Linked DNA regions of Caenorhabditis elegans. The protein of the gene in region 2 interacts with the protein of the main gene of each other region in a pairwise test. Each region holds a gene or a part of one and is shown on either strand. Other genes may lie near its edges. The genes, in order: sld-2 and mus-101.

The links.
Region 1: the proteins of mus-101 (region 2) and sld-2 interact in a two-hybrid assay, tested with the Caenorhabditis elegans proteins (one study listed by BioGRID).

Annotation. Positions count from the first base shown.
Region 1 is NC_003279.8:3,739,247-3,743,203, reverse strand, and holds sld-2 (Ribosome biogenesis protein NOP53), read right to left. Parts: upstream 1,754-3,957; 5' UTR 1,737-1,753; coding exon 1,649-1,736; intron 1,602-1,648; coding exon 1,402-1,601; intron 1,356-1,401; coding exon 1,302-1,355; intron 1,253-1,301; coding exon 1,109-1,252; intron 1,060-1,108; coding exon 980-1,059; intron 860-979; coding exon 676-859; 3' UTR 557-675; downstream 1-556. Other genes in the region: larp-5 (HTH La-type RNA-binding domain-containing protein), read left to right, coding at 2,870-2,947.
Region 2 is NC_003279.8:10,478,918-10,486,730, reverse strand, and holds mus-101 (BRCT domain-containing protein), read left to right. Parts: upstream 1-1,766; 5' UTR 1,767-1,769; coding exon 1,770-1,811; intron 1,812-1,862; coding exon 1,863-1,994; intron 1,995-2,032; coding exon 2,033-2,181; intron 2,182-2,241; coding exon 2,242-2,485; intron 2,486-2,535; coding exon 2,536-2,679; intron 2,680-2,732; coding exon 2,733-2,965; intron 2,966-3,284; coding exon 3,285-3,572; intron 3,573-3,622; coding exon 3,623-3,773; intron 3,774-3,820; coding exon 3,821-4,064; intron 4,065-4,523; coding exon 4,524-4,686; intron 4,687-4,738; coding exon 4,739-4,925; intron 4,926-4,974; coding exon 4,975-5,519; intron 5,520-5,913; coding exon 5,914-6,121; intron 6,122-6,255; coding exon 6,256-6,408; intron 6,409-6,459; coding exon 6,460-6,819; intron 6,820-6,950; coding exon 6,951-7,142; intron 7,143-7,187; coding exon 7,188-7,313; 3' UTR 7,314-7,429; downstream 7,430-7,813. Other genes in the region: F37D6.3 (BED-type domain-containing protein), read right to left, coding at 1-17.

The DNA.
Region 1 (3,957 bases), 6.7 Mb from region 2:
AAATTCAAGTTGGAAGTCTGAATAGAGATTTTTCCTCTTTCAAAACTATTTTCAATCTAAAAAACCCTGAAATATTTGCAAATCTGCTTATTATATTGCGAAAATTTGCGATTTTAATGTAAAAAGACGGGTCTCGAAGCGACCGGGTTTTAAAGGGTACTGTTGTTGGAAATTTTTTGTTGCTGCCATATTTTAATTGACTATCTCAATTTGTCCCCCGTTTCTTGAAAATTTATCGAAAAAATGTGAAAATGCATAAAACATATACATAAAAATTTGAAGAACCTGGAGAAAAACTATGAAAAATCGATGAAAATTTGGCGAAAATTAGGAATTGGAAACTACAGTACTCTTTAAAGGCGCACACTTATTTGCAATAATTAAAAATCGGTCGCTTCGAGACCGAGTACAGTATTTTCGTGCAAAATATCAATATTTCATCTCTGTAATATGAATTTAACCAAAAAAAAATGCACTCTATTTTTATTCCCTAAAATTCCGATTCGAAAAAAGTTGAAGCTTTAGTTCTCCTGCCCCAGAACGCAATTAAAAAAAAAAAACTTTAAAACTTTTATTGCGGTTTTTGAAAAACCCGATAAGTGAATGATAAAATAAAATACATAAAAATCCGAATAATAATAATGTAAAAATGAAATTCTAGACAAATTAGAATATTCAGTACTTCTTCTTGAACATTTGTTTTCTCTTCAACTTTCGCTTCTGCTCTGCGGTAACTTTTCCGCGAACGAATTGCTTCTTTCTCAGATTGATTTTCTGGAAGTTTTGATCGCTTTTTGATGAACCGCCGAGTTTTCTGGCTGCTGGATTGTAGGAACGTGCTTTGGCAACATCTTCGTTTCTGAAAAAAAATTATAGATTGATTTGCATGAAATGTGTCAAAAAAATGCTTAAAATAGCCTGGAATCTGCAAATTTCCGAAAATTAAAGCTCGAAATTTCAATGAAAATCTAAAACTCACGTCTCATCATCGAATTCTTCAACCGGACCTTCAACTTCTTGACCCTTTTCCGGCGTTGGTAAGAGAAGCATTTTGAGATCCTGAAATAGGAAAATGGAAATTTTAAATTAGTATTTAAATAAAACAAACCCTCAATGGTCTCTGGTAAGCGCGTTTTGTTGGAGATTTGATCGGTGTTAGCGTAGATTTAACGGCAGATTTTGATGTGCTCGCGGAGTATGACTTCACAGGGGAAAAGTCGTCGAATTCGAACGGAACTGATCCCACTGGCTTCTGAAATTTAGTTTATTTTATTATTATAAAGATTATTAAAGTTTCAAACCTTTTTAGGCGACACCATGCTCTTTTCCGGCAAAACTTCGATCGCAATCATTTTCTGCAATTTTATTTTAAATTTCAGCAGTTTTTAATGCGATATCAACCTTTCTGGGTGAAGATCTCAGTGGAATTGGATTTTTATCATTTTCCGAGCCGAGCTGATTAAGATTAACTCGTTTTTTGATAGGGCTGAATTGCTCGCCTTCCATCATTTTCATTTCGAAATTCTTCCGCTTCACTCCACGTTTCGCTTGCTTCTCTTCGATTTTCTCGTCATTCTCCTTCTTTTCAGATTGAAGTATAGCTGAAATAATAATTTAATGTAAATACGTTTTTTTTTCCATTAATTACCTTTAATATGATTCGGAGCTACAGAAATATCTCCTGCCGTTGGTGATCTTCCATAAATCTCTCGGAAAGACGTTTTCCACTCTTCCATTACGTTCGGGCTGAAAATAATTTAAAAATTTAATTTGAAATCGAAAAGATTCGGCAGAAAACATGTGAAAACAAAGAAAATAAGAAAATAAATAGAGAAAATGAGAGCAAAAACCAAAAAACCAGGAGCTGTTTTCAAAACTCGCGCCAAAAATGTGTGGCAAGTGCGCTCCACCGCACACTTTTCCAGCGCTTGCTTTGAATCGCAGCTCTGTTTTATATATTTTTTCCACGTTTTATCTGAAAATTTCCAGATTTGTAGCCTTTTTTCTGTATTTTCTTGCTTTTAAACTGATATTTTGATGAAATTTTCTGAATAGGATAATATGAATAGAGAATATGAACTGTCAATTAGGAAACGCGTGCTTATTCCATATTAGGAATAAAATTTTAAATAATTCTACTTGGTTTTTAATTAAATTCAACTCCTTATTGTAAAGTTTGTAAACATTTGACTAATTTGAAGCTGTATTCCTTGAATTGTACTAAATAATTTGTTATTTAACATTAACATCATCTTCCTCTATCAAATATTTAGCCGAATGACATTTTCATTGAATTCAACTTTCTCTCCACTCCAAAACCTTGGCTCCATGAAATTGTCGAACTAATCGAAGAATTGCTGAAAAGGGATATGTCTCTGTTTCCATACTTCTTCTCCATCTCCCTTGCTTTTCTATTTCATTTCTCTTGCGGGTCCCTAATGATGGCAGGAGAGCCCCGTCCGCTGCCTTCAGTATATTCCAGGCTTTTCGCTCTAGAAAAAACAATCGAGAAGCGCGTCTTCTTCCTCTTCCCAGTTCTTGTTGCCTGCCATTCGTCCCTCCATTTTTCACATCGTCGTCTGCGTACCATATTGTGCACACATTCCCCTTCTCACTTTTTTTTTGCGTTGTCTCCGTCTCTTTGTGTCGTTCAACGTGTCTCTCTCTCTCTCTGCCCTCACAAAACCGGCTGACACGACACGGTCAGAGAAGAAGAGTCTGGCCACTGCTGCTGCGCCCGTCGCCCCTCTCTACGCTCCTTCTTCTCCACCACCCACTTCTCCATTCGCTTCCATAAGTCGGATGACGTGATACTGACTTCTTCTCCTTCGTTCACCATTCTCCACGGCGTCGACGTCCCTTTTCGGAGATGGACACGTTCGAGCTCGACTCGGACGCCTTCTACATTTGCACAGAAGTGTCACCGCGAAACTTTGTCGTTCAGAAGGTTTGTGTCATCTAATTTGCATTCGGGCGTGCCTCTGTGTAACGAAACACTCCTTTAAAGATTTGTATGTAACTAGAAAAATAAAATGGCTACTTTAAAAGTTAACAAACCCCATTTTAGTAGGGGTTTTTTATCGAAAAGTGTCAGCTACTTCTACGTCTACTTTCACTTAGTCTTCGCACCTATACCATAAAAACCGGATCTCGTTTCACTTTTCTTTAAGTCGTATATCGTGCGCTCCATAATATTTCACGGAGAGTTCAAATATTGCTTGAAATAATTTTTAGAAATACTCCGTGCTTTCCTTGAGTAAAGATAATTTTTTTTCTCAATTTTAAAATAATTCTGAAATATTTTGGAAGAATCATCTCAAAAGTTCATTTTCTGCATCTGCAAAAAGTATATTTCGCTTAAAAACGTATGACGCAAAGCCCCCGTTTGAATAACAGTTTCCAAAGTACTTTTTAAGTATTCTGGCAGCTGAATTGCACCTGCCTGGATATATTTCTCGTAGAGTTTTCCCGTGTGTTGTCTACTTCTTGCCCCATTCTGCCATTGAATTCTGCCACTGAATTCTGAAAATAGACGTATATATTTATTATCAAATCTTTATGATGTTTAATTAATAGGCACCAACTTTTTTTTCCTTTCTGACTCTGACGTAATTTAGACAAATGTATAATAGAGGAAAAAATGTGATTACTCCAAAACAATTCTTCCCGTGACGTCACGAAGGTTCACACAACGGCATATTTGTCGCTTCTGATCGATTGTGTTTCCAGAACTGGTCCTTCTTGGGTCAAAGACATAAAAAAATGTATGTGTATGTACGCGCACACCTTTAACCTCTTCTGTCATCACATCTCAATTTATGCGTGTCTCAGGCTAGCTACCCCGCAGCCTACTATGTTTTCTCCTTTGTGTCTCCAACGGCAGTATCGCATTGACAGCACCCACAAAAAATTTATGAATTTTTCTCTTATTTTGAATTGTACAGCGTCGAATTTTTA
Region 2 (7,813 bases):
GGCATTTCGTCACTCATCTTGTCAGCGAATCTGTAATTTATGAAAGTTAAAAATGGGCATTTTAGCTTCGTAAATAAAATCATATAATAGAAGTAAGAGATAGATAAAAGGTTTAAAATGACCTGTTTTTTTCAAGAAAGTATGGAAAAAACTGATCAAGAATCGAGCCGTTGAGCCGTATGAAAAAAAAAAAAACTTCCGAGTTTGAAAACACAATCGCATAAATTTTCCGCTCGCGCCGTAAACTGGGGACAAACAATTTTTGATCTATTCTAAATGTTTTCATGTCTGAAACTGAAATTGACATAATTTTGACCGAAATTTTTCGAAATAAACTAATTTTACACCATGAAATTGAAGAAGACAAAGACATTTTCAAAAGATTTTACAAGTTTTATGGAATATTAGGAAAAAAGATTTCCAAGCCTCTTGACTACGGTATTAATTAGCAATCGTGGTGAGACCCAGCAACAACATATTGAATAGGTCCTTTAAGACCAACAGTTTTTAAAGGTTTTTTATTCATCACGTGTTTTCAGCTCGACCATTCGGTGTAATTTGTGCAAACACCGTCACGCGCAAATGCAGACTTTTGCACGCGCTGCGGTGAAATTCCTCTTGGGGAATTCAAATATTTTTTCCCGCCTTTTTGTGAAAATTTTCGAGGCGTTGGTCGAGCTGAATACACGTGTTCATTTTACATTTTTAAAAATATGTTTCCGGTGTTTTCGGTGTTAATTGAAAATGTTAATTGGGCCGGCAAGCTTGAAGATTTTTGACATGAGAAATTTAGGATATTGGCGGCTTTCCAGATTACGGTATGCAACGTAAGCAAACAAACACTTCACGTAATTTTGCAGATCCACGGAAAATTTATAGTTTACTTTTTTTGAGACCCAAAGAACTCGGGGGATGTCCAATTGGGGGGATTACCAACTCGGGGGATTGGCCCCGCCCACAGAACCGTGGCTTGCAATACGCCCATTTCTGCAACTGCCGCACGGTTTCGAAACTGTATTTTTCTCAATAGAGCGAGAATTAACAAGAAAAATACAGTTTCAAAACCGTGCGGCAGTTGCAGAAATGGGCGTATTGCAAGCCACGGTTCTGTGGGCGGGGCCAATCCCCCGAGTTGGTAATCCCCCCAATTGGACATCCCCGAGTTCTTCGGGTCTCCTTTTTTTTTACTTTTTTTTTACATCAACTTCCGGTAGAATCTCGAAATTTTGGGTGTTGTTGAACTCTTCATCCTTTCCTCGCTAATATGAAAATGTATCGTCATTTTTCAGTATGTGAAAATGTATCGTTGAACCTTAAATCCAAAAAGGACAATACTTACGCGCGATGATACTTGGAAAATAGGAAGTGGTTTTTCCGATGATTTTTTCGGAAAAGTTTTTAAAGAGAAACTGCTATATAATTTTCATTCAAATAGAGATGCTATAAGCCGCTGTTCCGTACAGTTTTTGGCTTTGAGATAATTTAAATTACTCTGATCAATTGTTTTCTCCATGTTCACATTTCCATCTTCCAGATTGAACTCTTTTCACAAATTTCTTCATACAAATGAGAGAAACTGTCAGCAGTTCTGTTATTCAGAATATCGAGAGACGCAGACAGTCATACCACTTCCCGTCGTGTCTGTTCGCATTTCACACGCGCGAAACTGTCATTTTTGAACTTAATGTTAACACCCTACCCTGCCAATTCTTGAGTTTTTTACTGGCGAAATTAGCTTTTTTTATTATCAAAATATTCCAGATTTTACAATGGAGGCACCTCCGGCCCCGAAGAAGGCACGAAGGAGTGAGGTAATTATATCTGATTTTCAACAATTTTAATATCAAAACTTCAAATTTCAGGTCAGTAGGATGCAAGACGAGTCGGTGCTTTGCGATGACGATGAAGAAGATTCTCCGTTCACATTGTACTTTGTCGATCTTCCCAATGAACCAACAGTCAAAGAAATTCGCAATTTAGAAGAGTTATTCAAAGTATTGCGTTATTAATTTATTTATTTTTCAAGTTTTAGGCGTATTTTCAGACTGCAAAAGCTGTGGGAATCATGCCAGAATGGATTGATTCAGATGCACTCGAAGATCTGCAGAAATCTGAAGACTTTTTCGTTTTACCCTGTTTCCGCGGAAAGCTTTTTCGAAAACTTCAAGCCCGGAAATTGAAGTTTGTGTTAAATTAAATTCAAATAAATTCAAGTCCACAAAATAAAATTACAATATTCAGAGTATACGGTCCTCCAATTGTTCTTGAAAGTATCGAAGATGGGAAGCAGCTCCCACAATGGAATCATCCAGTGTATTCCAGTGTTTTTCAAGACGTAAAAATCAGTTTCACCGGGTTGAATCTTACGAAAAAGCAAGAACTCTACGAAAAAATCGGATGGATGTGTGGAGTGGTTGGAGATGCTCTATATCACGAAACGACTCACCTAGTAACTGAAAAAGCAGAACAGACGGAAAAGTATAAGGTTAAATAGTATATCAAGCAGAAATTTAAAATAAAATAAAAAAATTCCAGGCTGCTGTCAATAATTCAATCAAATTAATGCGAATCGGATGGATTGATGATCTCTGGGAAACTTCTCAAACCACAATGGGCAGATTTAGTGCTTTATCGCGGGATTCAGTTAATTCCTATGCATTGAGAGTTTTTGAAGGGCTCGTGAGTGATCGAAATCATGAATTTGAATTTCAGTTTTATACATTTAAATTCAGGAAATGGCAATCACATCGATCGACGGCGCTGATCGTACCAATTTCATTCAGCTGATTGAAGATCACGGAGGAAAAGTGCCTGGAACCATGTCAAAAACCAGATGTAGCTATCTTATCAGTGATAAAATTACTGGAGTAAAATATGCAAAAGCTGTTGAATGGAAATCAATGCAAATTGTGCAGTCTCGATGGATTCGGAAATGTGTAGATTTAGGACATCTTGTAGATGCGGGGTTCGTTTTTGAGAGGGAATTGGCTCAAATCAAGCGACATTCATTCAAAAAACATTAAAAAATCCGAAAAAGAGGAACATTTTGCAGAAAAAATATATTCTTAAATCAACGAGCTTACGCGAGATAAGCTATCAAAACATGCAATAAAAATTTAGGATTTAATAAAAACTGCGACAATGACAGGAAAATGAAAATTCCGTTTTTAGCAAAATAATCCTTTTTTTTCAGTTTTTTTTTCTGTGTTTCATTATAAAATTTGCTCGTTTTTGGGCGCTCTACTTTCCATTCAAATGATGTTGCCAGAAAAAGCGTTTTACAGAAAATATCATCCAAAATATTTAACGGCTGATCATATTCGATCTTCCACCCCGAAACGTGATGCTAATGTGACTGAAAGTGTGCCGGATATCTCATCAATCGCTGGACATGGAGGTCGTTTGGGTACATCTTCATTCAATTCTTCTATTCCACAAATGGATCAATCATATCAACATCAATCAGGATCTTCGTTTATTTCATTTGCTTCTACGTCAAAAATCCCGTCGAGTACTTTTACGAATAATGATTCAACATTAGGAAGATCTGGAAGCGGAGTTAGAGATGGAATGTATGTGAAAACGGAAATTTTAGAAAGAACAATGAATTTTCGATATTCAGATCAACTCCAATAGCTCGAGTTCAAACTACTCCACTGATTCGATATCCAACTACTCAAACAGCATCCGTTCAAAATATTGCTGACGTTATTTCTGATCCTATCGATGAACTTCGAAAAAATATTGACGATGGACTTGGAGATCTTTTTGAAGTTTTTTTTTTCTATTCTTTAAATCAAAATTAACATCAATTTTTCAGAACTGCATGTTCTATATATGTGGAGTCGACGAGTCTCGAATGGAAAAATGGCGTCGATTTCTGAACGAGACTGGAGCAACGCGTGTCGCAAAATTCACATCAGCAACGAATGTGGTTGTAGTTTCGCCGAATCAACAAGAACGAATTACCATTCGAAAACACCTTCATCAAGAAGATATTGCAATTGTTACTGTTGGATGGGTGGTCGAGTGTGTCAAACAGCGGAAAATGATTTCAGTGGAAGGTCTCAGCACTTTTACAACATCCTCTTTCTCTTTCGAAGTTTTTTTTCGGAAATTTGTAAATAGAGAAATATTTGTATTTTCTGAAGAAAACTTCATCTTTAATTAATAGCTTCGATAAGTTGCTTGAAGATTTCAGTTTAAAACTGAATTTTTTTTTAACTTCGAAGTTTCGTTTTACAAAACTTTTTTTTTCTCATCAACATAAACCTATTTTTGACATATCTCCCAATTTTTTCCTTATAATTTCGATGTTCTCAAAAAACACCAAAATATTTCGACGAAACTTTTGATGCAACTTCTCAAAACTTAACTGAAAATAAAGTTATCTTCAGAAAATAACAAATATTTATAATATATGTATGATTCTCCGGAAAAAAAAACTTCGATACAACAGTGAACCGAAAAAAGTGTCGAATACCTCTGGATGGAACGAACAGTTTAACTATTAATTTTTTCAGGTTATCAATGGACTGAAAATACAGCTGATGAATCACAATCTTCTCAATCTCAACTGCAACCAGTAAGACCTCAGCCTCTTCCCCGGACCTCGTCTAAATCAACCATTCCATATGGTAAAACATCAGGACCAAGCTCTACTTCAACTCAAGTCGGAATTTTCTCGTACGATTGTATTTTATTTTTTTATGTTCCTTTTCCATATTCTCATTTTCAGATATCACACGTATTGTGTCCATTGTTCCGTCGATCAAGAAGTTTCTGATGATTTGAAAGAGAAAATTCCGTTGAATGGAGGCAAACTGATGGACGATCCAGATTATGCGGAGTTTGTGATTTTCGGACATTCTGGACCAATGCACGAGTTGATTTCATTTGATGCTGTTGTCACGGATTTTTATATTGTAAAGATTGAAACCTGACAATATGCCAGACAATATATTTATTTTTCAGTACGCGAGCATCGGAAACAACAGATTTCTCAATCGATCGTGTTATCCATTATTTGTACCACTTCCCCGTCCTCCAATTCTAATTTTCAATCAACGTGGCTTCCAATTAAAATGCAAAGATCCATTTCTCCGTGATCGTGTAAGAGATATTATCGAGGACAATGGAGGAAGAATTGTGGAGCAGTTGGAACCAAAGGATTTTATTATTATGATTGATGCAGAAGACAATCCACCAAGATACCATTCCCGAACACTCGATTTTTCATGGATTATAGCCAGTGTGAGCAGATGTCGATTGCAGCCAATTGATAACTTCCTGTATAAGAACAACACGAGGCCTCTAAGTGGATTTCAACGAGACGATGATCTCTGGGAAAAGTGTTCTCGAGAGAAGAATAATAGTACACAAGAAATGGAAGTTGAGGTTGAAGATAGACATCGAGTACAGGATCTACCAGTAGAAACTGGGAATGGGAACATCGGTGACATGACGACCCCCTATGTGAATCCTTATTTCCCCGATCTTCGAAAGCCATATACGATGAAGTGAGTTTTCTGGTTGCAAATTATGAAAATTGTGAAATTCTAAATTTTAACTACCGTAATTTGTAGGTTATTGCGATTTTCAAAAAAAGAAATGTGTATTTCAGCATTTTGTGCAACTTTTTCTCTATTAATAAGCTTTTCCTGGAGCTTCATCTCAAAAATATTGTTGATCAGGTTTTTTGAAATGTATATTTTAAAAAAGAAAAAAAACATGAGACATTATTACATTAAATTTTGAAGAATCGGGAGAATATTTCTCCGGACCGTATTTTCGGAGCATTTTTGGGAGTTATAATGGTAATATCTTAAACTCATTTAGATATTTCTGAAAAAAAAATTTAGTTGCAAAACTTTAAAATAACACATAATTTGTCAATGTTATCCAATTTTATAGCCTCCAACTCGACGGTGTTAGCGAATACATCAACAATATGGAGTCACCGGCACGTGAAACACAGGAAACGCTGACAACTTCTCGAGTTGGAAGCATCCTTCGAAAAGCTGTCGTGAACACTGGAAGAAACGAAGATTTCGAGGATGAGCCTTCCACGTGCCACCTAATTCGACCCAGAGTTCCAGAAAATCGAAAAACTGTCTCTAGTGTATGGCATTTCTGTTGTATATCACCGTTAGAAGATTTAATAGTTTCCAGTATTGTCCGAATAGTTTAAGGAATTAAATATATTAAACTCATAGCCAGCTTATTAAAACTATGAGATAAATGTGTATTTTTCAGACTCCCGTTCTTGTTCGTGATGTAAACCGTTCAATGAGATATATGCCAATGGATGAATCATTCGCAGATCAAAATCAAGAACACGAAGATCTGAACCGTCGATATGCAATGAATCCACGTTTTTTGCTCAGTGTTTCTAATATGGATCCTCAAGTTAGATTTCTTAAGTTTTGATTTTCAATTCTATATATTTGTTTTTTTCAGCGAGCCGCAGATCTACAAGAAACTATCATGAAGCTTGGTGGTACCATCGAACGTGAATTCAATAAAGATGTGACTCATCTGATTGCGAGCAACATGCAAAGAGCTCCAAAAGTTCTTTGCTCAATTGCAGCTGGAAAATGGTGTCTAACACCTGATTATGTGACTAAAAGTGCTGAAGTTGGTCGATGGCTCGATGAAAAATCATTTGAGTGGACTCGAGAAAAGTTGTTGGCGTGTTCGAAAAAGAACGAGTCCCTCAAAGAACGAGATAGTCGGAAAGTTTCCGAGAATCTAGCAGCTGTTTGTGGATTATGGAGGCAACGTGTGGCAGAGATGCCGGTTACATTTTCAGTTAGCATGGTCAGTTTCTAGATATGTAGCTTTCTGGCTTTTTGGGTCAATTTCTGAATTGAAATTTAAATTTACTAGAACCAAAAACATTCAAAACTCACTAGTCTGCTCAACCTGTTTGAAACGGGCAAATCTTTCAGGAGAATCGTCAAAATGGAGCATTCTCGGATTGGCGTTGCGTAATTCATCTCGACGATAAGAGAGCTGGCGTATTTTCATCGATTCTGGAAGCCGGTGGTGCCATTGTTCATTCGATTTCCGAGTATGTAGAAGTATCTACACTTAAGCCTAACATTGTTTTGGCATCCAAAGAGTTCCCATGGAATCCTCAGGTAAATTAAGAAAATCTCTTCGATAAAATTTATTCAAATTTTAAGAGCGCTGTGTTGCTGAAACGTGATAATATTCCGATCTACGTCTTCGACATCCTTTACGACTTCCTAATCGACAGAGATAATCTAAATCGAACCAAGTTTTGGCATAATGTCTACATGAAAGCATGAGCCATTCCGATTTTCTAAATGTGCTATATATTTTTAATTGGTTTCATTTTTTGTCTTTTTTAAATTTCTAGTGATTGTTTCAATTTTTTGTTTCGTAAAGTTTTCAATAATTTTGCTTGTCCTCGTTGCTTTAATTTATTTTGAATCGTTTAAATAACGTAATTTTATTCTTCTCGTTTCATTTCTTATAAGAGAATATCTTTTCAAACAAGTGGGAAAACGCGCGCAGCTGCCTCTCATGCCATATGTTCCCGCTGTCTACGGTTTGCACAACGGGAAAATAATCAATAAATTACTTCCATTCTCTTGCACTACCCTTTTTGCAATTACGCTCTAGTGAATGGTTTTCTTATGTATTTTTTGGATTAGTATTTGAAATTTTAACAACGTTTCCAGAAATTTTGGTTTTAGTCCCACACCAAAATATCTTACTTTTAAAATTCTTCAAAAGGTATTTGAATTTCGGAGCTTATTTGTTACAATACATTTAATGTTTTAAC